4 linked regions of the Pelodiscus sinensis genome follow. Each later gene encodes a partner of the first gene's protein in a complex. Links are inferred from orthologs where the notes say so. Each region holds a gene or a part of one and is shown in the gene's direction. Other genes may lie near its edges.

Region 1 (7,070 bases):
CCTGGCTGGGGAGGCTGAAGTCACATGCCCTCTTCCCTCCCCAGTGCTCCAGGCCCAGGACATTGGAGCCATGCACCACCTGCCCTCCCCATGCTCCAGGGCCGGGGAAGCTGGAGCCGCACACTCTCCTCTCGCTCCGTGCTCCAGTGCCAGGGATGCTGGAGCCACACACCCTCTCCCCTCCCCATGATCTGGGGTGAGAAGGGCTGTGGTGCGCACATGTGGGGGTGCCCCCACAGTGTGCTGCCCCATCTTCTCATGAGGGGTGGGGGCTCAGAAGAAGGGGCGGGGTTGGAGTGGGGCTCGGAGCTTGTCTCCCCAGCCCTACCTTCACCAACTGCCCATGATGCCGCCTCACCTTACTAGTCTCACTCTTGTTGCTAATCCTTTCTCAAGCAACTGTTAACTCAGACTGGCCTTGTCTACACTTACAGCACTGCCCCAGTGCTGCTGCACCACTCCAGGGGCTGTGTCTACACTGGGCCACTTATTCCGGAAAATCAGCCGCTTTTCCAGAATAAGCTGCGAGCTGTCTACACTGGCCCTTGAATTTCCGGAAAAGCAACGACGCTCTACTGTACAAAATCTGCCGCTATTCCGGAAAAACTATTCTGCTCCTGTTCGGGCATAAGTCCATATTCCGGAACACTGTTCCGGAAAAGGGCCAGTATAGACAGCCCAGTAGTCTTTTCCGGAAAAAAGCCCCAATCGCGAAAATGGCGATCGGGGCTCTTTTCCGGAAAAGCGTGTCTACATTGGCCACAGACGCTTTTCCAGAAAAAGGGCTTTTCCGGAAAAGCAGCCTGTCAATGTAGATGCTCCTTTTCCGGAAAAACTGAAAACGGAATAGTATTCCGTTTTAAGCAGTTCCGGAAATTCATGCCAGTGTAGACACAGCCCCCGAGAGATTCTCCAATCAGCATAGGTACTGCACCTCCCTGGGAGGGAGTAGCTATCTGTAGAACCAGGTGCAAATACTAAATTTGTATCCACATCAGATCTGCAACTGCAAAAATGATCCATGGTTATAAGCATATATTTGCAGATTCACAGGGCTTGAGATATAAAATTTGGATCTGCATCCATCTGCAATCTGCAAAAAATGGTCTGCAGATAACAGCAGGTGTGGATGCAGATAAATGCAGATACAAAGCAGATATCCTTATATTTGCAGGGCTCTAGATATTTCCAACAATAGGGCTACGTCTACACTGGCAGCTTCTTGCGCAATAACTCTTTTGCAGAAGAGTTCTTGTGCAAAAAGTCTTCCAGAAGAGAGCGTCTACACTGGCATGTGCTTTTGCGCAAGAGATGTGCTTTTGCGCAAGAGCATCCATGCCAGTGTAGATGCTCTCTTGCACAAGAAAGCTCTGATGACCATTTTAACCATAGGGCTGTTGCCTGTCTACACTGGCCTCTTGCGCAAGAACAGTTGTGCAAAAGGGCTTATTCCTGAGTGGGAGCATCATAGTCCTTGAGCAAGAAGCCCTGATTTCATACAGTAGAACGTCAGTTTACTTGCGCAAGAACACACGGCCAGTGTAGACAGGCAGCAAGTTTTTGTGCAAGAGCAGCTGCTTTGGTGCAAGATCGCGCCAGTGTAGACACCTAGGCTGTGTCTACACTGGCATGAATTTCCAGAAATGCTTAAAACGGAATACTATTCCGTTTTCAGTTTTTCCGGAAAAGGAGCGTCTACATTGGCAGGCTGCTTTTCCGGAAAAGCCCTTTTTCCGGAAAAGCATCTGTGGCCAATGTAGACGCGCTTTTCCGGAAAAGAGCCCCGATTGCCATTTTTGCGATCGGGGCTTTTTTCCGGAAAAGACTACTGGGCTGTCTACACTGGCCCTTTTCCGGAACAGTGTTCCGGAAAAAGGACTTATGCCCAAGCGGGAGCAGAATAGTTTTTCCGGAATAGTGGCTGATTTTGTACAGTAGAGCATCATTGCTTTTCCGGAAATTCAAGGGCCAGTGTAGACAGCTCGCAGCTTATTCTGGAAAAGCGGCTGATTTTCCGGAATAAGTGGCCCAGTGTAGACACAGCCCTAGAGTCAAAACGAGTAGTCCCTATGGCACCTTAGAGGCTAACAAAAATATATATAGTATCATGAGCTCTTGTGGGCAAAACCCACTAACAGGGCTATCCCTCTGAGACATGAAAAAGATACTATTCTACCTACATGGGTCATTAACATCCAGGCTTAAGCAAGTCTCTAAAGTGCTTTGTAAATGTAAAGCACTCGAGATGGTATGTATTAGTTATTAAGCACTGAATTTAAATGCCAGTGAAAGTTTTATGTTGATAGAGCCTAAAGAAAATATTAAACTGCATCTAATATTACAAAGAATTTACAAACAATGGACCATTATCTTGTTAAGACAACAGTTCCCAAACACTAGTCCCCAGCCCAGCAGCGGGCCACGAACCCTCGTCTGCCGGGCTTCTGCACGTTGCCAGGCCACACCCCAGCTTTTATTTACTCCGCCCCTTGGTTTCCAAGAGAATTCCCTTCTGTAAGGCACCTCACAACAGGGTGAGTGGGGCAGCTGGTAGCTGGGTGTGCTGAGGCTGGAGCCATCCTATTGGGGCAGCCTCACCATGGCCTCAGTTCCAGGTCCAGCAACCACTACGTGGCCTGGCCAGCAGGGCCAAGGGATAGCGGCTGCCCCAGCCGGGGGAGGGGAGGGGAGGGGAGGGGAGAGGAGACAAGCGCTGTGCAGGAAAGCGACTTCCAAATGCCGCATGTACAGTGGCTGCCCTGGTTCTAGAAGGAGCTGCACAGGGCAGGGCGTGAGGGAAGCCCTGAGAAGCACTGAGCCCCTGCAGAAAGCACATGCAGAGCTGAGGGGCAGCAGGCTGCCCATAAATTGGAAGCATGGCCCTTTTAGCCTCTCATCTCAAAACAAAAGACAATGTAAAAAATGCAATGTAAAATAATGTGACCCCTTAATATTACCATAATAAATATGGAAATATGCAAACACATTAATGACAACATGAATATGCAAATATTCCATTGCCAGTCCTCCAGCAGTTTTTGGATGAGTTTGCTGGTCCTCAGTATAAAAAAGATTTGGAACCGCTGGGTTAGGACATAAATGTCTGCTACTCTGTCTATAGTGGGCTATCACAGATTCTTAAAGATGTCATAAAGTACAATTCTGTTATTCTTATTATCATTATTGTAGCTTCCATGCTAAAAGCAGTAGAGTCTCTTATGATTGAATTCCAACTGTAATTATAGCTTCTGCCTTTTCAGTGCTCACAACTTCCTCAAACATATTTCTTTTAAGTGTGAATTGTCCTAGAAAGTTTGAGTAAAATCTTTACAGGTGTTTTTGGGTAGTGGCTTCATGGAATTATTTACTAGCTGAGTTTAATTAATAAATATTTATATGATTATATAGGAGCTGTATGCACATGCTGACCACAAAGGAATTATTGGGAGGAAAACATAATAAATACATAGAATTTGACCAGGGGGGCAGAGTTACTTTTATGTTCACTCAGTTGCTGAATCAGGCCCTGTTAAAATAGATTTTACATCCATCCGTTTCCATGATGAAAAACGACCATTTTAGAACCTCATCCTGCAAAGACCATGGGACTAAAGGTGTCCCTAAATCTTTGCAGGATTTATTCACCTTGAAAAAGGAAGAAATGCTTCTTTTACCACTATATTTGCAAAACAATAGGCAGTTCGCATTATTGCAAGGTCATAATGTTTTCCTAAAATGACAATTGGAAACCTTCAAAAAACGAAAAGAGAAGAAAACACTCCAAAACATATGCTCTTTTTCATTCACAAGCGCTGAGAGTTAAAGGAAGTCAAAAGCATCCAGCCTCCCTTACTACTTTTGTTACGTGGTATCTGTTCTAGAACCAGGAGATTGAAATTACTGTAGGTTTGTGTCGGTGCAATTTAATCTCACAGGCAGGAGCTGGCGCTTTGCATTGTGGTAGTTGTAGTCATTTTTCCTTTCAGCTACTATTAAATATAGATGGGAGGCGAATTTCTGTGAACTACAATTCCCAGGACCTCATGGCATTTTTTTTCCAGGGAACTTTGCAAACGTGATGGAGGAAGTTGAAAATGTCAGCGAGCACAGGGTAATGTAGGTTTCTCGATTAAAGTAAATCAACAAGGTAAAAGCAAATTCAAATTGAGAGATTGCTCCAATTCTGTTTCACTAAAGGGACAGCACCTTCATTGCACACACTATGTATGCGTTGCTTAGGTGCAGATTACATTAAGTTAAGATCTTTCCTGCAATAATCAAGGGAGGGTTTAGTTCAACTAATCTACATAGATCTTTGTTTGTTGGTAACATACTAAGACTTGTTTTGCCTCATGATGTTTTCTCCTTCGTTTACACGAGTTATTAAATGCAGCGAGAAGTTACAAGGCTCGACAGGAAAGTGGTTGCTTGCCCTCCATGGGAAAGTGTTTCTAAGGACTTGGCGGTGTTTTATGTGGGGGCAGGAATTTTCCCACATAGAATCTGTGTTGCGTCCTCGTATGCTTTTCCAAGGTGCAAAACAAAATATCTGGACCCAGGAAGGATCCCTCAGAGCTGGGAATAACAGCAAACAAGTGTCTGTGCAAAGAAGTCACAAAGGAGGCGCACCCGTGTCGGCTGCTCAGAAAGGTAAGTGAAAGTGAAGCTATGGCCAATATTAATTAGCAACTTGCATTGGTTTTAAATAGCAGTGACCATCTACAGCCCTACAACTGAGGAATATAAAACTGATTCCCACAGCTGCAACTCATCCCCTGGTTTATACATTGCATTTTTTAGCATAACTTTATACAGAGTTGACTTTTAACTGGTATGTGTGTATTACACACTCACAGGCTGTGTCTAGACTGGCAAGTTTTTCCGCAAAAGCAGCTGTCTACACTGGCCGCTTGAATTTGCGGAAGAACACTGACAATCTAATGTAATATTGTCAGTGTTCTTCCGCAAATACTATGCTGCTCCTGTTCGGGAAAAAGCCCTCTTGCACAAATGTAGTTGCGCAAGAGGGCCCGTGTAGACAACTAAAAACTGTTTTGTGCAAAAAAGCCCCGATGGCAAAAATGGCGATTGGGGCTTTCTTTTGCAAAACCGCGTCTAGATTGGCATGGACGCTTTTCCGCAAAAAGTGCTTTTGCGGAAAAGCGTCCATGCCAATCTAGACGCTCTTTTCCGCAAATGCTTTTAACGGAAAACTCTAGATGTAGCCAATAGGTAAGTGGCAGGCTTCTTATAGGTAGGCTAATTGGAACAGGCCTAATATGTTTTGTAGGGTCCACATAAGTAACACACAGTGCTCTCCATCTGTCTCCCCAGTTATGGTTGGATCCCCTTGCATGCAGAAGTTTAACACTACATTCCTATTCTCTTGCCTTCTGCCTGCCTGCAGTCAGCTTTTAGCACCACTCCAGCCTTGGAGAAAAAATAGGAAAAAAAAATAAACCTAATCAGCAATATTTGGGTTAAAGGCTGATACAAATTCAAATGTTAACTCTTCTAAAATAATTTTCTTCCTCCAAACACACATCACATTTTCTTATTACCATTGTAACAAAAAAGCAGTCTTTAGGTGAGGAAGAGTGGCTTTGTACCTAATAATTTCCAAATCTATGTATTAGATTAATATTTGATATCAGTTTCATCAGTCCCTCTTTAATGTGGAGATTGCAACTCACCTCTAAGGATTTCTTCCACTTGGCCACAGTGATCTTAGATTGCACAGCATCCATTGATTAATATGAAAAAACCAGAAAGGAATGTAGAGGTGATTTAAACCCTGTACATTAGGGATGTGAAAGTGTAAACATATACCTGGTTAACGGTTGAGCCTGGGCTCATCAGTTAATCTTCACAATTACATGCAGGCCACCCCTCTCCCACTGTTGCCTCTGTATCAGCGGCTATAGCGGAGGGCAGGTGAGGCAGGAGCTGGTGTTCGTGCATACCAGCTCCCGCAGAGCCTCCTATTCCCCCATCCCCTCACTGTTGCCTCTGTGTAAGAGGCAGCAGGGGGGAAAGCAGGTGGGACCCGGTGCTCAGGGGGAGTTAGCTGGCTCTGCAAGTGCTAGCTCCCGCTTGCCTCTGCCCCCTTTCCTCAACCTGTAAACATGTAATTACTGATTTTTTTCACTGCTTACATATTTACCTGAATAAACACATTTTCATGTCCCTGATATAAATTCTACATCCATGTCATTTCCTGAAGATTAAAACTGGCTTAGTTTAGTGAATTAAGAAAGTGATTTCCAGACATTGGTCCATTTGCTAGTTGCCTGCAGAGAGATGGCTGATCACATGGTACTGGCACCTCCTTTGTAGCTAATACAGTTACAAAAAATAGTGAATGTTTTTCTGGTAGTGTTTTTCCATGTATGTAATCAGGGTAGTTGCCACCAATGACCAATGTTGCCATTTGATCACCAATAGAAGGGGAGACAACCCAAATTGTTTCAAAAGGGAAGGAAGAAGCAATGTAAGAGGCTTTGGTATAGTCCATAGTGGAGATCCCACTTTTCAGCCATCTCAGCTGTATTACTCTCCAAGAACCATCTTCGTCTTTCATAATTATTTGATTAATTTTCAATCTAATAGGAACGTGCTGAACCATATAATTCTATTTCTCTGACCTAATGTTGAGGCCAACAAGTGTGGTTGTTCCCCCCCCCCCCTTCACTATTTAATGAAAATCATCTTACAAATATAAATATGCATAATTTGGAGACGCTATAGACAAAATTTCTCATGTAACCTATCCGTTTTGAATGTAACAATTAACTGGATCTATATATCCTGTTTTGGTGTATGAATCATTCTTTTATAAGATTGTTTATAGTTTTAAATATGCTAATGAGAGACATCACTGGATGCCCGGAACCCTTAACAACTTGGTGATCAACTTAACGATTTATAAATAGCTTTGTTTGTCCTGTAAGTCCAAAGGTGTTTTGACTAGTTAGATATGTGACCACACCAGCTGATAATTGGGATGGCATTTTGATCCAGGTATTTTTCCATGGAAGGGAGAATATAGAACGAAAGATTTCCACCCTGAG
Region 2 (7,071 bases), on another chromosome or scaffold:
GCAAGGACTCCTGGGTTCGCCGCATGGGACGGGCATGGGGGTCAGAACCAGGGGGGAAGAGGGAGCAAGGACTCCTGGGTTCTCCGCATGGGACGGGCATGGGGGTCAGAACCAGGGGGGAAGAGGGAGCGAGGACTCCTGGGTTCGCCGCATGGGATGGGCATGGGGGTCAGAACCAGGGGGGAAGGGGGAGCAAGGACTCCTGGGTTCTCCGCATGGGACGGGCATGGGGGTCAGAACCAGGGGGGAAGAGGGAGCAAGGACTCCTGGGTTCTCTGCATGGGACGGGCATGGGGGTCAGAACCAGGGGGGAAGAGGGAGCAAGGACTCCTGGGTTCTCTGCATGGGACGGGCATGGGGGTCAGAACCAGGGGGGAAGGGGGAGCAAGGACTCCTGGGTTCTCCGCATGGGACGGGCATGGGGGTCAGAACCAGGGGGGAAGGGGGAGCAAGGACTCCTGGGTTCTCCGCATGGGACGGGCATGGGGGTCAGAACCAGGGTGGGGTGGGAGCAAGGACTCCTGGGTTCTCCGCATGGGACGGACATGGGGGTCAGAACCAGGGGGAAAGGGGGAGCGAGGACTCCTGGGTTCTCCGTATGGGACGGACATGGGGGTCAGAACCAGGGGGGAAGGGGGAGCGAGGGACTCCTGGGTTCTCCACATGGGACGGGCACGGGGGTCAGAACCAGGGTGGGGTGGGAGCAAGGACTCCTGGGTTCTCCGCATGGGACAGGCATGGGGGTCAGAACCGGGGAGGGGTGGGAGCAAGGACTCCTGGGTTCTCCGCATGGGACAGGCATGGGGGTCAGAACCGGGGGGGAAGGGGGAGCAAGGACTCCTGGGTTCTCCGCATGGGACAGGCATGGGGGTCAGAACCACGGGGGAAGGGGGAGCGAGGACTCCTGGGTTCTCCGCATGGGACAGGCATGGGGGTCAGAACCAGGGAGGGGTGGGAGCAAGGACTCCTGGGTTCTCCGCATGGGACAGGCATGGGGGTCAGAACCACGGGGGGAAGGGGGAGCGAGGACTCCTGGGTTCTCCGCATGGGACAGGCATGGGGGTCAGAACCGGGGGGGGTGGGAGCGAGGACTCCTGGGTTCTCCGCATGGGACGGGCATGGGGTCAGAACCGGGGGGGGGGGGTCTCCTGGCTTTGCTCCCCACTCCGGCCCATGGCCCCCAGGAAATACATCTTGCAACATCCTCAGTAGAATTTCTGGTGGTGGGGAGAAGAGTTTCAGGCTGCGGAGGGGGAAACTGAGGCAGACGGCTCTCCCTCATGCCCCCCATCCACCTCAGAAGGCGCAGCAGCCGTAAGTACCCCGCCCCCCACGCCACCTGGATCTGGAGGGGGGCTGCAGCCACATGCCTGGGAGGACCCCACGTTTCCATGGAGCTAGGGGAGAGCAGCCCGTCCCGCTGGGGGCCACACACCACGGTCAGTCCCAGCCCGTCTCCAGGTTTATTGGGGGAGGGGCTCAGTCCTGCTGCTTGGCGCGCGAGGCCTCGGCGTTGGCGCGCAGCACGGCGCCGGGGCTGGGGTACGGGCGCTGCTGGAACAGGGGCCCGGCTGCCGTCGTGTCCGCCCCCGTCTTCGCCTCGTTCCGCTTCGGGAGCCCCGTCGACCATGTGCCCCTGCGGGGGAGGGGGCAAGGTCAGCGCAACACCCCACCCACTGCAATAGACCCCTCCCCTTCGCCATTCCCGCCGCCCCGCACCCCTCCCCAGCACCCTCCAAGCCTCACCGAGGGGCGTCCGAGTAGGCGCTGGGGTCCATGGGGTCCAGCTCCTCGTCCTTGCGGCTGCCTGGGGAGGGAACGGCAGGGGCTGTATTCAGTGCTCCCCATCCCCCCAGGTACCAATTCCCCCCCTTCCCCTCCCCACTCAACCCACTTTGCCCCCCAGCTGCGCCCCAGGCCCGGCCCCCTCCCCACGCACTTTTCTTGCTCTTGGGGTAGGGCGCCAGCTCCTCCCGGCGGTGGTAACGCCGCTCCTTCACCTCCACGCGCTCCGGCTTCTCGTAGGGGCGCTCCGGCTTCTCCTCGGCGTCTGGGGGAGACACAGGCCCTGGCCTCAGCCTGGTGTCTGCGCCCTCCCCCCTGCCCCCTCCGAGCCACTAGCCCCCACACCCGGAAAGGGCAGGAGCCCGCCCAGCTCTAAGCACTAGACCCCACTGCCTTGCCGTTACCCAGGCTGTTCTTCAGCTTCTTAGCGGCTTTGGTGATGACGGAGCCGGGGTCGTTAGGAGACAGCCAGCACCAGGTCGTTCTCCATGTTCCAGTAATAGGGGAGGCCGCTGGAGGGCAGGGGAGACAGAGTTCATTCCCTTCCCCGCCACGCTTGGGCTGAGATGCAGCCGTGTCTGGGGCAGGGCCGGGGAGGGGGCAGCCACGCCCAACGCGGCAGGGGGGCGCCCTCTTACCAGATGGGGTCAAACACTTTGTACCAGTTGGGAGGCAAGTTCTCCATTCTGGTGGCCTCGTAATCCACGTGGTCGTCGTCATAATCTTCAGCGATGATCTCCTCCTCCGGCTCTGAGGTCAGCGGGAGTCAGAGAATCCCCGGCACAGACCCCTGCCCCACGGCGCCCGGACCCCCGGCCAGGGAGAGCCCCCCGGCTCCCCCTCTGCCCCTGCGCCCCGGCCAGGGGAGAGCCCCCCCGCCCCATGGCGCCCAGCCCCCCGGCCAGGGAGAGCCCCCCGACTCCCCCTCTGCCCCTGGCGCCCCGGCAGAGGAGAGCCCCTGCCCCACGGCGCCCGGACCCCCAGCCAGGGAGAGCCCCCCGACTCCCCCCTCTGCCCCCTGGCGCCCCGGCCAGAGGAGAGCCCCCCGCCCCATGGCGCCCAGCCCCCCGGCCAGGGAGAGCCCCCCGCCCCATGGCGCCCAGCCCCCCGGCCAGGGAGAGCCCCCCGCCCCATGGCGCCCAGCCCCCCGGCCAGGGAGAGCCCCCCGACTGCCCCCTCTGCCCCCTGGCGCCCCAGCCAGGGGAGAGCCCCCCCGCCCCATGGCGCCCAGCCCCCCGGCCAGGGAGAGCCCCCCGACTCCCCCCTCTGCCCCCTGGCGCCCCGGCCAGGGAGAGCCCCCCGACTCCCCCCTCTGCCCCCTGGCGCCCCGGCCAGGGAGAGCCCCCCGACTGCCCCCTCTGCCCCCTGGCGCCCCGGCCAGGGAGAGCCCCCCCGCCCCATGGCGCCCAGCCCCCCGGCCAGGGAGAGCCCCCCGACTCCCCCCTCTGCCCCCTGGCGCCCCGGCCAGGGAGAGCCCCCGACTCCCCCTCTGCCCCCTGGCGCCCCGGCCAGGGAGAGCCCCCCGACTGCCCCCTCTGCCCCCTGGCGCCCCCGGCCAGAGGAGAGCCCCCCGCCCCATGGCGCCCAGCCCCCCGGCCAGGGAGAGCCCCCCGCCCCACGGCGCCCGGACCCCCGGTCAGGGGAGAGCCCCCGCCCCATGGCGCCCAGCCCCCCGGCCAGGGGAGAGCCCCCCCCGCTCACCGGGCTCCACGTGCTTGAGGAGGCCCCGCTTGCCAGGCGAGACTGAAGCGCCACCGGCAGCGGCATCGCGAACCCTGCGGGGCGGGACCGTCAGGGGGAGAGCGGCCCCGGCCCCGCCCCCTGCCCCCTGGCCCCTGCGCGCCCCGCCCCCGGCCACGCCCCTGCCCCCCCCGCCCTAGGCCCCGCCCCCTGCGCGCCCCGCCCTCCCGCTCGGGCCCCCCCCCCCGCACCAGCTCGTCCGGCTCCTCCAGGCCCCTGCCACTCGCGTGACGCCTCGGGGGTCCCCGCCCACGTGACAAGATCCGACCAATGGGAGGAAGGGAGGCGGGGCTCTCAGCTTTGCTTTTCCGGCAGGCCACTCGGTGCCCTCATGTCACGTGACAGAGCGCTCGGCCCCGCCCCAAAGGCCAACCAGTCAGCGGGAAGACGGAGTCTCTCATGTCACGTGCTGGCAAAAGAGCCAATAGGGAGGCCCTGACCCCTTCTTGTCAGGTGACCGCAGGGCCGGAATACGGTTTTTTTATGTCATGTGCCTCTCTCTGGCCAATCAGAGCAGAGACTCACCCCGGCCCGGTGTGTGACGCGAAGGGGAGCAGACACCACGTGATTCCAGCTGTCCAATAGGGGGGCGCGGGGTGCCCCTTGCTTGTCACGGGACAGTCGGGTCAAGGGGCGGAGCCTTATGCTCACGTGACCGGCGCGGCCGCTGTTGGGAGTCATGGAGGAATATGCCCGGGAACCCTGGTGAGCGGCCGGGGGGGGAGGGTCAGTCTCTTTTTCCTCCCCCCCCTTCCGGGAAGCTTGGTCTGCCCCGCCCTGAATGCGCCTATGGGCGGGCGAGTCCACTGGGGCAGGAAGGGGGGGGGCAGCGAGGGAAAGCCCCTCCCCCCACGGCCGGGGCCCGTGGGCCGCTCCATTTGGTGCCTGGCCGGTCTGGTGCCTGGCCGGTCTGCATAACGAGCCTCCCCGGGCGCTGTTGGTCACTTGGTAGCGCCCAGCCCCTTGTGTGGCCTGAGGCCCGGCGAGTCCATTGGAGGAGCATGGGGGGAGGCAATTCTCTGAACGCTCAGCACACGCCCTTGGGATGGATTCACCTGCCCCCTTCCGTCCTTTGCCCTGCTCCGTGGGGGGCTCGAAGAAACTGACACCCCTATTCTTGGTCACTTGGTAGTTGCCGGGTTTTGGTATCTGTGAGCGGGTGAGTCCATTATGGAGAAAGGTGGGGGTGGGATGAAAGAAACGGACTTGTCGTCCCCCCTCCCCTTCCCGTGGAGCTGGGAGACACCAAGTCACCACGGACCGTGGGGGGGGGGGGGGTGTTGGGAAATAGCAGGAATTAGAGGGGGGTTGTACCATGTGGTGGTCCCTTGGCTGGGGGGGTTATTGTAGGGTCTCTTCTTGCAGGGAGGGGCCGGATGTGCGTGGTGGTGGCTGGGGGGGAGGCGGTGATGGATTTATTCTAGTGTCTGGGCTGAGGAATCACTTCCCGTGGGGTGACCCCCCCCCGGGATCTGCTCGTGACACCCCCCCCCCGGGATCTGCTCGTGACCCCCCCCCGGGATCTGCTCGTCCCTGCAAGTGTTGTGCTTAGTTGTCCTTTCCGGGGGAAGAGGCAAAGGCCAGGTCTTGGTGATACACGTCTAGCAACCCACCTTCTCCTAGACATCGGCTAGATCCCACCCACACACCCTGACTCCTGGTCACCAATAGTTCCCCCTGACTGCACTGGCCAGGTGAGTTAGGTGGGGCCCCTGCAAGATGCCGTCGATTGGTGACTCTTCGGGGGGTGTCTCAGCGCTGCCCCATGCACCTCCAGAGAGGGGGTTCCCAAAAGCAGGCCCCTGCTGCTGACCCCCAAGGCATCCACAGGTCCAGTCTTCTCTCAGTGGGCCTGCTTCCCAGGCCCTTTCACAGGTTCTTGGCTCTGGCTCCCATCCCCTCTCCGGAGGTGCTGGTCTTCCCGTATCCAGTCCCACCTCATCCGCTCCGTAGGGCCTGTTCTACCAAGACTCCATGCGCTGAGCCCGGCTCTCGATGGACAGGCACAGGGGTTCTGTGTGAAGGGACTCGGTGCAAAGCTAAACGGACGTGATACAAAGTTAAAAACTTCAATGAGAAAATGGCTAGTGCAGAGATTGATGATTAATAGAGAGATCTACCTACAGCAGCCCCCTTCGTCCACCCCAGATTCCTGCTTTCCCTCCCCCCCCCCCCACACGCTTGCATAGCTTTCCTGCAGGTGGGCTTGGTGCTGTGGTGGGGCTGGTGTCCCCTCGGGCTCATGGCGGGGTGGCCGGGCGCCCCGGAAGGGGATGGTTGCGCGAGGGTATCTGGCTGTTGTGGAGCTGTTACTGGGGGGGGAGGGGTGCCCTCTTTCTCCCCTCCCCCACTGATGTAGGGTCTTCTGCAGGGTTTGTTTGTTGTAGGGTCTCCCAACCTGGCTAACCCCCCTTCTCCGGCAGCCCATGGCGCATTGTGGACGACTGTGGCGGTGCCTTCACCATGGGGATGATCGGCGGGGGGGTCTTCCAGGCCATCAAGGGCTTCCGGAATGCCCCAGTGGTGAGCCCTGCCTAGCCCCAGCCTCCCCTCCATTGCCTGACAGCTCTCCCCAGCCCCCGACTTCTGGGGGAGCGGGGCAGCATCTCAGCTCACTTCCCCCTCTGCTCTCCTCCCCCAGGGCGTTCGACACCGGTTCAAAGGCAGCGTCAGCGCCATCCGCATCAGAGCACCCCAGATTGGAGGTGAGGGGCCGCGGTGTGGGGGGAGGCATGGCCAGGTGGGGTACGGAGCTGAGGTGCAGCTCATCCCTGCTCCTTCCTGTCCCCAGGTAGCTTTGCAGTCTGGGGCGGCCTCTTCTCCACCATCGACTGTGGCCTGGTGAAGATGCGGGGAAAGGAAGACCCTTGGAACTCGATCACTAGTGGGGCCCTCACAGGAGCTGTGCTCGCCTCCCGCAGTGAGTGCCAGGGGAGGGCCCCCTGCCCCGCCCCTGTTGTGCTTAAAAGAAGCACCTGGGATAAGGCCACATGCCACATTTATTGACCATCCATAGATGGAGCCATACTTATCCGATGCATAGGACACATCACTCTCATGCACTCTCACACGCACACTCCGTCTTGTTGTTCCCAAAAGTTGCTCCCCTTCACTGCACTGGCCAGGTGCGTAAGATGGGGGAGGGGTGGAGCCAGGCTTCTGCAGATCCGGATCGATGCTCCCATGTTGACAAGAGGAAAACCCAGGGTCCCTCTGCAAGATGCCTCCTATTTATCCCTTTCATGCAGCCAATTAGGCATCACCTCACCTTTCTTAATGCTGCTTCAGAGAGAGTTCTTCCAAGGGCAGGCACTTGCTGCTTGACTCCCAAGGGGTCTGTATGTCCAGTCCTCTTAATGAGCTCCCTTTACAGGTACTGTCTTGGATCTGGCTCCCAGACCTTCTCCACTCTTGGGACTGCTGCTGGAGGTGCTCCCCTTTCATTCTCCAGTCACACCTCAGTCATTCCAACAGGGCAACCAAGGAAAGGGCAGAGCTCAAAAGACAGTTTATCTTACAAGATCTCTTAATACAAAGTTCTAGGAG
Region 3 (7,395 bases), on another chromosome or scaffold:
AGAGATGTAGCCGTGTTAGTCTGGGGTAGCTGAAGCAAAATGCAGGACAATGTAGCACTTTACAGACTAACAAGATGGTTTATTAGATGATGAGCTTTCGTGGGCCAGACCCACTTCCTCAGATCAAATAGTGGAAGAAAGTAGTCACAACCATATATACCAAAGGATACAATTAAAAAAAATAAACAAATATGAGAAGGACAAATCACATTGCAGAACAGGAGGAGGATGCAGGGCTGGGAGGGGGAGGGGGGGGAGGAAGGAAGGTAAGTGTCTGTGAATTGATGATATTAGAGGTAGGGAGAGTGGGATGTTTGTGAGTTAATGGTATTAGAGGTGATAATTGGGGAAACTGTCTTGGTAATGGGTGAGATAGTTCAAATGTTTGTTAAGTCCTTTTTGGAAAGTGTTGAATTTTAACATGAATGACAGTTCAGAGGATTCCCTTTCAAGTGCAGATGTAAAAGGTCTTTGTAGCAGAATGCAGGTGATTAAGTCATTGAGAGAGTGTCCTTTCTGGTTAAAATGGCAAGAAACTGTTTTCTCTTTGTGATCTTGTCTGATATCTGTTTTGTGGGCATTAATCCTTTCCTATTCGCATTCTAGCCTTTCCCCTCTCCTCCCCGCCCCCCAAGTCCTATCTAAATAAAACCCACAGCACCACCTTCTGGCAGCTTTCATTACAATAATACGTTTGACATACAGCAACTATCCTCTTCTAAATGAATAGTAATAGAGATGTAGCCGTGTTAGTCTGGTCTTGCTGAAACAAAAGACAGGACTATGCAACGCTTTAAAGACTAACAAGATGGTTTATTAGGTGATGAGCTTTCGTGGGCCAGACCCACTTCCTCAGATCAAATAGTGGAAGAAAATTGACATGACCATATATACCAAAGGATACAATCCAAAAAAAAAATCTGATTTGTCAATTTTATGTGTGTTCCCTTTTTTTTATTGTATCCCTTTGGTATATATGGTCGTGCCAATTTTCTTCCACAATTTGATCTGAGGAAGTGGGTCTGGCCCACAAAAGCTCATCACCTAATAAACGATCTTGAAAGTCTTTAAAGTGCTGCATAGTCCTAGTGATAGAAATGTATCCGTGTTAGTCTGGGGTAGCTGAAGCAAAATGCAGGACAATGTAGCACTTTAAAGACTAACAAGATGGTTTATTAGATGATGAGCTTTCGTGGGCCAGACCCACTTCCTCAGATCAAATAGTGGAAGAAAGTAGTCACAACCATATATACCAAAGGATAAAAAAAAAAATGAACACATATGAAAAGGACAAATCACATTGCAGAACAGGAGGGGGATGCAGGGGGGGGAAGGAAGGAAGGTAAGTGTCTGTGAATTGATGATATTAGAGGTAGGGAGAGTGGGATGTTTGTGAGTTAATGGTATTAGAGGTGATAATTGGGGAAACTATCTTGGTAATGGGTGAGATAGTTCAAGTGTTTGTTGAGTCCTTTTTGGAAAGTGTCGAATTTTAACATGAATGACAGTTCAGAGGATTCCCTTTCAAGTGCAGATGTAAAAGGTCTTTGTAGCAGAATGCAGGTGGTTAAATCATTGAGAGAGTGTCCTTTCTGGTTAAAATGGCAAGAAACTGTTTTTTCTTTGTGATCTTGTCTGATATCTGTTTTGTGGGCATTAATCCTTTGGCGAAGTGTCTGAGATGTTTGTCCAATGTACATAGCAGACGGACACTTTCAGCACATGATAGCATAGATTATATTTCTGGATGCGCAGGAATATGTGTTCTTGATCTTATAACTCACTTGGTTAGGCCCAATAATGGTGTCAGCAGAGTGAATATGTGGACAAAGCTGGCAACGGGGTTTGTTGCAAGGGAAGGTACCAGGGTTGGTATTAGTGTGGTATGTCCTGTGGTGGTTGGTAAGAATCATCTTGAGGTTAGGTGGTTGTCTATAGGAGACTATGGGTCTGTCTCCCAGAGCCTCTTTGAGTATGGTATCCTGTTCCAGTATAGGCTGTAGTTTATTGATAATGTGTTGGACAGGTTTAAGTTGGGGGTTGTAGGTGATGACAAGTGGTGTTCTATTGTTGGTTTTCTTGGGTCTGTCTTGAAGTAGATGGTTTCTAGGTATTCGTCTGGCTCTTTCAATTTGCTTTTTTATTTCTCTGGGTGGGTAGTTGAGGTTTATAAATGCTTGGTAGAGATCCTGAAGTTTCTGGTCTCTGTCAGTGGGATTAGAGCAGATGCGGTTGTATCGAAGGGCTTGGCTATAGATGATGGATCGTATAGTGTGTTCTGGATGGGAGCTGGAAGCATGTAGGTAACTGTATGAGTCAGTGGGTTTTCTGTAGAGGGTGGTGTCTAATTTTCCATTGTTGATTTGTACTGTGGTGTCCAGGAAATGGATCTCTCGTGTAGAATGGTCCAGGCTGAGGTTAATGGTGCGGTGTAGGTTGTTGAAATCTCTGTGGAATGTCTCCAGTGTTTCTTGGCCATGCGTCCAGATCATAAAGATGTCATCGATGTAGCGTAAGTAGAGAAGAGGTAAAAGGGGATGGGAGTTGAGGAAACGTTGTTCTAGGTCAGCCATAAAGATATTAGCATACTGTGGGGCCATGCGTGTACCCATGACTGTGCCCGCTGATCTGGAGGTATAAGTTGTTCTCAAACTTGAAATAATTGTGGGTGAGAACAAAGTTACATAGGTCTGCTATCAGGCTGGCAGTGGTGTCCTCTGGGATAGAGTTTCTAATTGCTTGTAATCAGTATTCATGTGGGATGTTGGTGTATAGTGCTTCTACATCCATGGTGGCAAGGATGGTGTTATTGGGGAGGTTATCGATGTTTTGTAGTTTCCTTAGGAAGTCAGTAGTGTCTCGGAGATAGCTGGGGTTGTTGGTTGCGTAGGGTTTGAGGAGAGAGTCTACATAGCTGGGTAGACCAGTAGTGAGTGTGCCAATACCAGAGATGATGGGGCGTCGGGGGTGTCCAGGTTTATGGATCTTGGGAAGCAGATATTAGTGTGATATGTCCTGTTGTTGGTAGGAATCACCCTGAGGTTAGGTGGTGGTCTATAGGAGATTATGTGTCTGTCTCCCAGAGCCTCTCGGAGGGTAGTATCCTGTTGGAACTGTATAGGTTGTAGTTTATTGATAATGTGTTGGACGGGTTTAAGTTAGGGGCTATAGGTGATGACAAGTGGTGTTCTATTATTGGTTTTCTTACGTCTGTCTTGAAATAGATGGTTTCTGGGTATTTGTCTGGCTCTTTCCATTTGTTTTTTTATTTCTCCAGGGCTGTGTCCAGACTCAGGGGTTTTTTCGGGAAAAGTAGCCTTTTTCCGAAAAAACTTCCCCTGCGTCCAGACTCAAGCCGCGTTCTTTCGAAATTAAATCGAAAGAACGCGGCTTTTCTTTCGATGGCGGTAAACCTCATTTCACGAGGAAGAACACCTTCTTTCGAAAGTTCTTCTTTCGAAAGAAGGCGTTCTTCAATGTAAATAGGGCTTCTTCGAAAGAGAGCATCCAGACTCACTGGATGCTTTCTTTCGAAAAAGCAAGCCGCTTTTTCGAAAGTTCAACGTGCAGTCTAGACGCTCTCTTTCGAAAGAGGCTTGCAGTCTAGACATAGCCCAGGTGGGTAGTTGAGGTTTATAAATGCTTGGTAGAGATCCTGAAGTTTCTGGTCTCTGTCTGTGGGATTAGAGCAGATGCAGTTGTATTGAAGGGCTTGGCTACAGACGATGGATCGTGTGGTGTGTTCTGGATGGGAGCTGGATGCATGTAGGTAACTGTATGAGTCGGTGGGTTTTCTGTAGAGGGTGGTATCTAATTTACCACTGGTGATTTGACTGTGGTGTCCAGGAAGTGGATCTCTCGTGTGGAACGGTCCAGGCTGAGGTTGATGGGCTGTAGCTTGTGAAAGTCTCTGTGGAATATCTCCAGTGTTGCTTGGCCATGGGTCCAGATCACGTGATGTAACTTTGTAGCTGTATTGTAACAGAGATCAATGGCTCCCACACCGGGCAGCACCGAGCCATTCGTCTCGTTTGCAGCGGTGCAATTAGTGCAATTAGTGTTTCAATTCCTTACTTTGAGTTAATTCGGGGAGCGCCGATCCCCGACGCTGCTTTCCCCGAGCAGCTGATTGCCTTGCTCGTGCTAGAAACTCGCCTCTGCGGGGCTCCAGCGCCCCGGCGCTTTGCAGCCCGCTGGCCGGGGGGGGGCCGCCCTCGCCCGTTTGAAACGCAGGGAGGGGCCCTGCTGCAGCAGGACAGGAGCCCGCGCCCCGCCCCGCCCGTGCGAGCCACGTGGCCGGCCCTAGCGGGGGGAGGGGCGCGGCGGGTAACGCCCAACCGCCGCGGAGCGGATGGGGGAGGGGTTCAGGTGGCTTGGGGTCAAGGGCGCGTCCCGCGCGCCCCGCCCTGCCCGGACGCCATTGGCCGGCGCGCCGGGCAGCAGCCAATGCGGTGGCCTTGCGTCCGGGAGCGTGACCTGCCGTCACGTGACGCGCTCAGTTTGCCGGTTGTGCACGAGATGGAGGAGTACGCGCGCGAGCCCTGGTGAGTCTGGGGCGCGCGGCGGCCGTTGGGGGGGGCGCGAGCCGGGGAGTCCCGCTGAGGGCCCGGGCTGGCTCCCTGCCTGGGCGCGTGGTAGCCTCGAGCGGGGCCCGCAGTGACCCGGCCGCCTGGCGCGAACCCTGGACCCGTGACACGCAGCGCGGACGGGAACACACACGCGCGAATCGCGAGTGGAGGAAACGGGCTCGGCCGCCGTGGGGCTCGTAGAGCAGCGGGGGCGGGAGCAGGCGCGGTACGGGGGCTGCTCTGGCCGGTCTCCGCTGCAGTGCTGCTCCCGGCCACGCGGAGAGGTAAATCGGTGCCACTGTCCCGGGTTCTGCAGAACCCCCCCCGGCCAGCGAGCAGCGAGCCAGCTTCAGGAAGAACAGCCAGCTGCAGCCATGGGGAAGGGTCCAATCCTGGCCTTCAGGCATCCCTCTGCACTGAGGGCACCTCTCTGGGGGAGGGAGGTCGAGTCATTAGGGAGGGACCCGTAGTAGTTGGTCTTTAGCTGAGTTTGCAGTGACTAGCAGAAGTGCACGGTGACTTGCCTATCTGGCACAAAGGTTAACATTAAAAAAAATGTTTTATAAGATTAATGGAGATTGCCTGTCTCCTAGAACTGGAAGGGACCTTGAAGGGTCATTGAGTCCAGGCCCCTGCCTTCACAGCAGAACCAAGTACCATCCCTGACAAACCTTTGCTTCCACAAGGATTGAACTCACAACCCTGGGTTTAGCAGGCCAGGGCTCAAACCACTGAGCTATCCCTCCCCCCCAAGGTTGCAGATCTTCTCTACTCTTCTGTGTAGTGCTGGGGAAGACCTGATTGTGGTACAGGTACATACCAATGACATAAGGACAAATAGGAGAGAGGTTGTAAAGGCCGAATTTAGGCAACTAGGTAAGAGATTGAAGTCTAGTATCTCTGTGGCAGCATTCTCTGACATTAGGACAGAGGCATCCCTTCGGATGATGCTCAATCAGTGGAGTTTCTCTGTGTCCTAAAGTGATTATGTAAAATTGTTAGAAGTCTAAATAATAAGATGGATGCTTTGTATTAGATGAGGATATTGATATCATAGGCATCACAGAAACTTGATGGAATGAGGACAGTCAATGGGACATTGTATTTTGTTCCCTGGTATTACTATCAGGTTGTGCTGGTAGGGAGTGGCACTGTATGTATAAGAAAGCATAGAATCAAATGAAGTAAAAATTGTAACTGAGCCCAAATACCATAAATTATGTATAATAACTTAATGCGTGACTGTGCAGAGAACCTTAGAACTTGGTAAGTATTTTGGGAGAGCGTAGGTACATAAAGTTAATGTGTAATCGACAGGGGTGTAAAAGGTTAACAGGAAAGCCGGTAGGGGCTGGAGCAGCTCCCCACCCATTCTGGACAGAGGGCTGCTCTAGCCCCACTGGGCCCACTGCAGGCAGGGGTTTCTCTGGCTGGTCAAAGCAGCCCCTCTTTGCAGTGGGCCTGACTTCTCTGCTACAGGTTCACACTATGGATCCCTACCTTGCAGAGCTACCTGCAGATCTCACAACAAAGTCTCCCTAGAAGTGGGGCCACCTGCCCCTGCCCGCCCTGCTCCCAGGGAAGTTTTGCTGCAAGCTCTGCAGTATAAAGAGTCTTCAGTGCATGTAACCGCTAAGATTTTTAGCGGTTACGTGGTTACCTTTTAAAACCACTTGTTACATCCCTAGTAATTGGAAAGTTCTGATAGTTTTCTTATTCTTTATCCTTGATTTCAGCACTTTATATTTCTGTTTGTTTTTCCTCTTTAGCCCCTGGCGGATAGTGGATGACTGTGGTGGTGCCTTCACAATGGGAGTCATAGGTGGTGGCATCTTCCAAGCTATCAAAGGGTTCAGAAATTCCCCAGTGGTGAGTAAAATAATTTGTTGTAGATAAGCTAATATAGTAGCTTTGCTTCCAATAGTGAAACATATAGGAGTGACCTAAGAAGAGGAAATACCCATAAGGTTCTCTTCATGATAACTTGTCCCCAGTCTTCGTATTGAGAGACAGTATTTATCCCCTGCAGGAGAGATTGCAGACCAGGAGAATAAACCTGCTCCATCTCCCATGATCCACATAAAGTATGGGTCCATCTGTATAGAAGCCTTGCTGCCTTCTGCATGCTCCCTATGGCTTCTATGACCGGTGGCAGCCCTAGGGAAACCTTTTTAAGGGACATCTTCCTGCTGGGGTATCCTGCCTAGGGTTGCAGTGCCATTTAGAATTTGCTCAGCTCCCCATCCTTCATTAGCCACATTAAGTGGTGCTGTGACCCCTGGCACCAAGTCACAAGCAGGGTCAAACCTAGTGGAACCAGAGCTTTTGCTGAGGGGTGAGGGTGGGACAGGCCCAAAGCCCCCTCTCCACACTGGGCCAGGATTAGGGTTGCAATGCCAGGCATATATGTAATGAAGGGTTGCAAAAAGACCCACATATTTGGGAACATTGGATTAGGACACTCACCTAATAGGGGGGCAAAACCCACTTCATATTCCTTCTCAACAAGTGTTGGGAGTTGTATCCTTGATTTCCTCCTTGTCTTGGGTGAGTACTCTACTGGGCCCAAAGTTACGAGATAGCTCCTCCTTCCCCTTCGCGCCCGTTCTCCTCAATCCTTCCAGCTATTTCGTAAGGAGTTAGGCATGCAAGTTAGGCGGAGGAGCACCTATGTTCCCCTAGTTTGTGATTTGCACTCGAGCTTAGAGTGTGAGGTAGTAGTTTGCATACCCTGACATAGAAATTTAGGCATCTAAGGAACTTTTACTGCAAAATCTTCTATTCCATGTGGGCTTAGGCATGCGGCTAAGAGGGGCATTTCTGAGTA
Region 4 (7,582 bases), on another chromosome or scaffold:
CTCTGACGTGGTCTTCTAAGGGAAGCTGAAGAATCCCCATTTCTGGAGGTTTTTTATGAACAGGTTGAACACGCACCTGTCATGGATAGTCTGATTTTACTTGATTCTGCTTTTGTGCAGGGGACTGGACATGATGAATTCTAGAGGTCCCTCCCAACCCTCTATTCCTAGGATTGAAGTGAATATAGCCCTATGGAAAATAATTGGATTCTTCTTTTTAATAATGATTGATCATGAGTAGGAGTCCAGGACCCTGGACAAGAATGGTCCTTAAGTGCTTTTAATATGCGATCTAGATTTGTAACTTTTTTATGCTTGATGGCTGAAATATAGATCTGTGAAAAAGTGACAAGTAAGTGTATAAATTACTGTGCAAATGATAAAAATATAATTTTCTAGATTCTAGATATATACATTTAATTCTGTAAATAAGCTAATACTTTGTTTAAAATACTGTCAGTTGAAAACTAAAATATTCTGGTTTTTTTTTAAATCAGTATTAGAAAAAATTGGAAGAGGTGGCAGGGGAAGTCATCATCATCATCCCTGGGAATAGAAATCAGAGTATGTTTTGATGAGGGTTGGCAGGAGGGTGGTGTGTTGACAGGAGAGGGTGCAGTTGGGTAGGCACAGGGGAAAAGGCTCTTAAGGGAACAGATGTGTATTTTGGGGCAGCAGAAAAAAAGGGAAGAAAGAGAAGGATTATAAAGGAGCAAGAGGTGTGTGGTAGTGGGGCAGAATAATGAAGAGATGTCAGAGTAGAACCAGGATTTTTGTGCATTGGAGAAAGGGCATTCATTAGGGATATGGGTGTGGCAAATTTACTGGAGATATGTTTGGGATTGTACTGGGAGTATGTTGGAGTGGATAGAGGGGTGTACTGGGGTGCAGGAGAGCATTGGTAATGGGTTGGGGGTGGATGGAAAGATAAATGTACTGGAACTGTGTCGGAGTTCACAGAAGGAAGTATGAACTGGTTTGGTGGAGTATACTAAGAGTGTATTGAGGTGGACAGAGGTATGCATATTGGATGTATGCTGGGGTGGATGGAGAAGTGCAGAAGGATGTGGCTGTATTAGCAATGTGGGGTGGAAGGAGAGGTGTATAGGAAAGGAAGAGTGCATAGGGAATGTGTTGTGTTGGATAGCGTGTGTATTGGGACAGGGTATTGGGAGTGTGTTGAGGTAGGTGGAGGAGTATACTGGGACAGCTGGAGAGCTGTAACTGTGGGTGTGCTGGAGTGGATGGAGGAGTATATGGGGGCTTGCTGGGGGAGCATTGGAGTGCGCTGGGGTGGTGTAGGGGGTGAGCATTGCTGGGGGGTCATTGGAGTGTGCTGGGGTGGTGTAGAGGGTGACTAGGGACTGTGCTAGGGGGTGCATGGAGAGAAGTGTGATAGAAGCTGGGGGAGTACTGGGAGTGCGAGGGGTGTGATGCGAAGGGAGGGAGAGAGGATACCGGAGAGCACAGCGGGCTCCTGCCCAGCTTCCGGGGCTGGCAGCGACAGAAGTGCCTGCTGCGGGGCAAAGGGGCTGGCAGCCCAGCCCAGCCCAGAGCCCCCGGCAGTAGGTCCCGGCCAGCCCCGCAGCGGCGCGGCAGCAGGTGTGCGGGGAGTGGGGGAGGCGGGCTCACCAGCAGCCAGAGCAGAAGGAGGCCCCCACGGGGCACTGGCCGGGGCTCCGCTGGGCGCCACATGGTTCCGATGGGGCTCAGGCGCCGGCTGCTCCCATGGGCGACGCGGGGCCGGCACGCGGCGGGTCGAGGCCCAGAGCGGCACTTGCTGCTGCAGGTCGGTGCCGGCTCAGGGCAGCCAGAGCGCGCGGCCGCCGGGGGAATCCGGCCACGGGGACTAGGCAGATCCTGCTTCCTGGAGCTCAGCCGCTGCGGGGGGAGGAGGCTCCGCCCGGGCGGGGCTGGAGTCTCGCTGGGCAGGTGCAGCACGAAAGGACGAGCCGAGCTGGGGACGCCAGGCGCACCTGCTCCTCCTTTGTTCCCTCCCTCAGTCTCGTTGACCTTCCCCTGGGTGTAACGGTGTGGAGGGGGACAACCCGCTCGTTTTGCTCGCCCCTAGAGCTATTTATCTGAGTCTGTGGATGCTGCTGGGACTGCCCAGCACTGCCTGACACGCTGGCCTGTGTATAGTGTGAATTGTGTGTATTGTTTCTCCTCCAACTGCCGCTCTCGGGATGGGGGAGTGGGAGAAAGGGAGAGAATTAAAAATACCTTAGTTTGCAGGTGCTCTGAGCCTCTGATAGAAGGGCTCATGCATTTACATGGACCAAGAGTTACAATGATTTGTGCTAACACATCACAGAAATCTCAGAGGGGTAGCCCTGCTAGTGTGTAACATTACAGAAGAGCTATTAATTCTCATGCTTCAGGATTTAAAGTTTAACCAATTGCTGTTAGAGCCCACGATGGGACCTACGTGAAACAGATTATTTCAAAGCTGTTGCCGTGGGAGTTCTTGCATTTCGTTCTGAAGCCTTTGGTCCCGATGTAGATACACACCCCGGCCTCTGTCAGATACTGGATTAGCTGAACCTGGGAGCTTGATCCATCTAACAGTTCCCATAATCTTATGCCTGTCTTTAGGTTTCCTGGATTTTTTTGCCTTAATAGACTTCCCATGATGACTTCCTCAGGAAGCCATCAGTCAAATAGGAATGCCAGTAAAGAGCTCTGAGAACATTTGTCACATCTCTAGAAAAGTGCACCTTGTAATTGTATTAGTTATTAATAATAACCTCAGAATTATAGAAATTACAATAAAAAGACATTGCATGGTCTGAAATCCTTGGTACATGTTATTACTATTATATTATCTGCATTATGCTAGAGCCTATAGGAAGTTAGGAACTGTCCACACACATAGGAAGGCATAGTAGCTACCATGAACAACTCACATAAATTGTACTATTTACTTATACTTTCAAACTTAAACATATGGCATGACTGTGCCAATTTAATAATAGAGATAAAATTATTGTTTAATATATGTTCCTGAAACATTGTAATTAAGAGCTGCATTAGATGATGAAGTTCAATATTATCTGTCATTTATGTACACCCATAGAAAGACTTGTAGGCTTCCTGCCCTCCCGGGACTAAGGCCTTGGTCCTAATCAATATGCTTTGACAGATCTCTTACAGATATGTGGAGCCCTTAATGCAGGTGGTATGTAGGGCTACACGAGGTTCCTTTACTCTCTGTTGAATTTTAGCCTTACAGGATATGACCCTTATTCTGCTCCCCATCAAATTCCCACCAGCTTCATTACCAACAGGATTTGGCAAATACTACTTCCCAACATCTGAAGTATTGTACTATGTACAAGTTCTGTCATTGAAAACACTTGTATCTGTCTGGAAAGGACACAGCCTTTAGGTTGACAAATATGCCGTCTTCTCATACTACAAATACTAGTCCTTTTTAATATCCAAAACTGAAAATTTAGTGTATACCATTATTTTCCATTTTTATGATGCAAAATAAAAGCCTGAAAAGTTTTGGGTTTATTTTTCCTTCTAAGAGCATTGGAAAACCTACTTTTTACATTAAAGATTCAGATTGTGTCCAATGTGCTTATCCTAAAATTGTAGATTTATGAGTCACCATTCAAGTGAAAGTTGATTAAAGGGACAATGACTTTTATTATTCAGTTTTTGAAATATATACAACTCTAACACCTTATCACGCAGGGCAGAAAAAGCTGTAAAATATTGAACATTATCTTGCCTTCTGTTAAAAACTAAGAAATCTCTTATCCTTATCTGGTATGTCCAAGAAGACCTCCAGCAAAACCAGCAAAGACTGACAACCTTAATTGATATTTGTTATACATATAAAAAAGCAGAACATAACCTTTTCTCAAATAAATCTTCCTGGCAGAAAATGATTGATAGTGCTCTTACAAGTAATTTCTTTCTTTGCACAGGTTACATTCAAAGTACCCAAGGAACTGGATTCCGGGACAAGCAGTATCGGGCTGGTTATCTGCAAAAAAGCCACTTTGGCATCTTTGGAGAGATAAAAATGTAATACAAAGCTCACGAACTTAGTTTGCTTGTTCTACTGTGTCTGAAGGCACAGGCACGGTGATGGTGGAACTACGAAAAGATTGGAGTCAGAATGTATGAGTGGTTTCCATGGGGTATATTATCATTCACGTCACGGGCTGTCAAATGGTGTTGAACAGCTGTTCTATTGCGCTCAGCTGACTGCACCCCTCTCCCCCCCAGTTCCTGTCTGTCTGTCTGTCTGTGCATCCGACGGGGCTTCTGCACCAGCCCCATCGCTACCACTGGAGTGCAAAGCCCGGCGCACGTCGCGGCCTTGGAGACGCGTGAGGCCCCCGCTGCTGCCATAGCCCCGCCAAGGAGCCCCCATCCCGGCACAGGCCGCACTGAAGCGAGGTGACGAGCCCCGCCCCCCGGAGCTCGCAGCCCGCCTCTAGGACGCAGCGGGGGACGCGCCCCGAGGCGCCTGCAGAAGTGGGGGGCGGGGCTGCCACAGCGAGGAAGCGGGAGACTTCGGGAAGGGGCGGGGCTTAGCTTCTCAGTGGCGCCTGCACTTGCCCCGGAAGCGGAAGCGGGTAAACTGCAGTCGAAGGTGAGAGGTCAGAGGGTGGAGGTCTGCCCCTCGCCTTGCCTAGCTATGGGGCGACACTCCCGCACGCTGCTCATCTTCGGCGGGTTCGTGGCCGTAGTGGGGGCGGCGTTTTACCCCATCTACTTCCGGCCGCTGCGGCAGGTGGACCAATATAGTGAGTACGGCCCCGCCGAGCCTGGCGTGAGCCCCGCGCCGCTCTCCGCGCAGCGCCCCTCACCCTCGCTCCAGGCGCCCAGCTCCCTGTCCCCGCCCTCCCGGCCGTGCCACGGGCCCCAGGGAGCAGCCTCCCCGTGGTGTATCCGCCACCGAGCTCCCCTCCCTGTGTAATCCCTGGGCCTCGCCCTCACGCCCCCTCTCTGTGCTGCTCCCTGCCCTGCAGACAGCGCTTCGTTTGCTCAGTGATTCCTCCCTGACTCGCCTAGTCATTACTTGGGTACAAAGGGGTAACCAGTAAACCAGCCTCCTGCCCGCGCCGGTTAACCAGGTACCTTTTAAACGGGATTTTACATCCTTAAAAACAACGAATAGTCTGATAGCATTTTAAAGACGAACGAAACATGTAGATGGTATTGTGAGCTTTAATGGGTGCAACCCTGTTCTTCATCTGACTATACTTATGGGCCAGAGATTCATCTTCTGGTGTTTGGTTTAGAGGGACTACTAAAGACCTGCTCAATTAAATTATGAGGGCACTGTCCGGTCACCACTGCTACTCCTTGATTCACGAGGAGTAAGGGAAGTTGACGGGAGCATTTGCTCCCGTTGACTTCCTGCTATGGAGATAGCTCGGCTTAAGGTACATCGACTCCAGCTCCATTATTTATGTTGCTGTAATTGTATTTATGTAGTTGTAATTAAGCCAGCCTTCCAAGTGTAATATAGATCTGGTTTTAGCACTAGGGATGTTGAAAATCGTGTAATAAGATAGCTGCGTAACTTCTGAAAATCTCAGTGGTTACATGGTTACACCTGCTGTGGACTCTGCAATGTAAAGCTTAGCTTTATACTGGAGGGCCCACAGCAAAGCCTCCCCAGGTCTGGCTCCTGGGGAGGTGTGGGGGCTTTGCTGTGGCACCGAATCTTTCTCCCCAGGATCAGAGTGGGTAGCCCTTGCCGGCCTGGCTTCTGGAGAGGAGACTTTGCTGCCTTTTCACAGCAAAGCTGCCTCCCTGGAGAACTGAGCGCAACTGACACCAATAAGAATCCATTTATCAATTAAATGGCTAACTGGGTACACTTTAACATCCCTACTTGTATCACTAATCCTAGCATCATCACCCCCAAATAATTCTCTCCATGCTGCATACTGAAGTGGTTGATGTGACTTCAATAAAGCTTTTGATATTGTCTCTCATGGCCTTCTCATAAAAAAACTAGAGACATACAGCTTATATGGAGTTACTATGTAAGGTGGGTGAAAAACTGGCTGGAAAACCATTCCCAGAGAATAGTTATTGGTGGAGTGATGTTGGAAGGCCATAACGAGTAGGATCCCACAGGAATCAGGTGTAAGACTGGTTCTGTACATTACCTTTATCCATTGTATAGATAATGGCATAGTGAGTACACTTGTAAAATTTGCAGATGATACCAAGTTGGGAGGACTTTGAGAAATAGGATTAAAATTCAAAATTATCTGGACAAATTGAAGAAATGGTCTGAAATAAATAGGATGAAATTCAATAAGGACAAATACAAAGTTCTCTACTTAGGAAGGAAGAATCAGTTGCGCACATACAAAATGGAAAATGATTACCTAGGAAGGAGTAGTGTAGAAAGGTATCTGGGGGTCATAGTGGACCACAAGATATGTATAAATCAACAGTGTGACACTGTTTGTTGCAATAAAAATAAATATATATATTTCTGAGATGTATTAATAAGAATGTTTTCAACAAGACGTGAGAAGTAATTCTTCCACTCTACTCTGTGCTGCTTAGGTTTCAAGTGCTCAGTTCTGAGCACCACATTTGAGGAGAGATGTGGAAAATTGGAGAAAGTTCAGAGAAGAGCAAACAAAAATGATTAAAGGTCTAGAAAACATGACCTATGAGCAAAGATTGGAAAAAATTGGGTTTATTTTGTCTGTAAAAGAAAAGACGTGAGAGAGCATTATAAGCGTTTTCAACAACATAAGTTGTTACAGAGAGAGGGGGAGAAAAATAGTTCTGCTTAATCTCTGAGAGAAGGACAAAAAGCAATGGGCTTAAATTGCATCAAGGAAGGTGTATGTTGGACGTTACGAAAAACTTCCTGTTAGGGTAGTTAACCACTGAAACCAATTGCCTAGGGAGTTGTGGAATATCCATTATTGGAGATTTTTAAGAGCAGGTTGGACAAACACCTAATGGTCTAGATTTGGGTGGGGAAACTTTTGGGTTTAGGGGGCTGCTGATCCACAGAATAATCAGTTGGGGGCAAAAACAAAACAAAAAAAAACCCCTCACTCACCTGATCCCTGACTGAGAAGGGGAAAAGGCACTCCCCACATTCCTCTTGCAAATCAGAGCCTAAGACCCAGAAGGGCCCAGGCTATTAGATTTTATGTGCTCCAGTCCTGTGGTGAGATAGTGGGGGAGCAAGCTGCGGGCTGGCCTGAGGCTCTCCACCCCATTCTAAATAATATTTAGTCCTACCATGAGTGCAGGAGAACTGTACTAGATGATATCTTAAGGTCCTTTCCATTTCTATGATTCTACGTATGGTCTCTTGGAATTACTGTTGTTTAAGACATTTTACTTGAGCAGTAGAATGGTGATTTAAAAAAAAAATCTTTTATATTGTAAACTGTAGTGTGATTGTGGGTTTCATATCTATAACACTTGCTAGTTTGCTTGCTAGAGAGCCTCCCATGGTGTCTGGAATATACATATATAGACACAGAGAGCAACAAACTTACTAGAAACAAGCTAGTACAGGTTGAACCTCTCTAGTCCAGAATAAGGATGTTAAATGCGATTATTTGGCTAA

What was found.
Region 2: TIMM21 (region 1) and TIMM17B share a complex: the UniProt entries of both Homo sapiens proteins name them as parts of the TIM23 complex. The link is inferred for Pelodiscus sinensis from reciprocal best matches to the Homo sapiens genes TIMM21 and TIMM17B.
Region 3: TIMM21 (region 1) and TIMM17A share a complex: the UniProt entries of both Homo sapiens proteins name them as parts of the TIM23 complex. The link is inferred for Pelodiscus sinensis from reciprocal best matches to the Homo sapiens genes TIMM21 and TIMM17A.
Region 4: TIMM21 (region 1) and SMIM20 share a complex: the UniProt entries of both Homo sapiens proteins name them as parts of the MITRAC (mitochondrial translation regulation assembly intermediate of cytochrome c oxidase complex) complex. The link is inferred for Pelodiscus sinensis from reciprocal best matches to the Homo sapiens genes TIMM21 and SMIM20.

Annotation. Positions count from the first base shown.
Region 1 is NC_134712.1:95,701,255-95,708,324, forward strand, and holds the start of TIMM21 (mitochondrial import inner membrane translocase subunit Tim21), read left to right. Parts: upstream 1-4,061; 5' UTR 4,062-4,352; coding exon 4,353-4,650; intron 4,651-7,070. UniProt on the Homo sapiens protein: Participates in the translocation of transit peptide-containing proteins across the mitochondrial inner membrane.
Region 2 is NW_027466031.1:273,211-280,281, reverse strand, and holds the start of TIMM17B (mitochondrial import inner membrane translocase subunit Tim17-B), read left to right. Parts: upstream 1-4,071; 5' UTR 4,072-4,204; coding exon 4,205-4,230; intron 4,231-4,439; exon of another isoform or gene 4,440-4,684; intron 4,685-5,896; exon of another isoform or gene 5,897-5,948; coding exon 5,949-6,048; intron 6,049-6,166; coding exon 6,167-6,230; intron 6,231-6,316; coding exon 6,317-6,445; intron 6,446-7,071. UniProt on the Homo sapiens protein: Essential component of the TIM23 complex, a complex that mediates the translocation of transit peptide-containing proteins across the mitochondrial inner membrane.
Region 3 is NC_134737.1:16,752,851-16,760,245, reverse strand, and holds the start of TIMM17A (mitochondrial import inner membrane translocase subunit Tim17-A), read left to right. Parts: upstream 1-4,388; 5' UTR 4,389-4,446; coding exon 4,447-4,544; intron 4,545-6,337; coding exon 6,338-6,437; intron 6,438-7,395. UniProt on the Homo sapiens protein: Essential component of the TIM23 complex, a complex that mediates the translocation of transit peptide-containing proteins across the mitochondrial inner membrane.
Region 4 is NC_134715.1:101,593,674-101,601,255, reverse strand, and holds the start of SMIM20 (small integral membrane protein 20), read left to right. Parts: upstream 1-4,582; 5' UTR 4,583-4,657; coding exon 4,658-4,766; intron 4,767-7,582. Other genes in the region: SEL1L3 (protein sel-1 homolog 3), read right to left, coding at 1,633-1,695.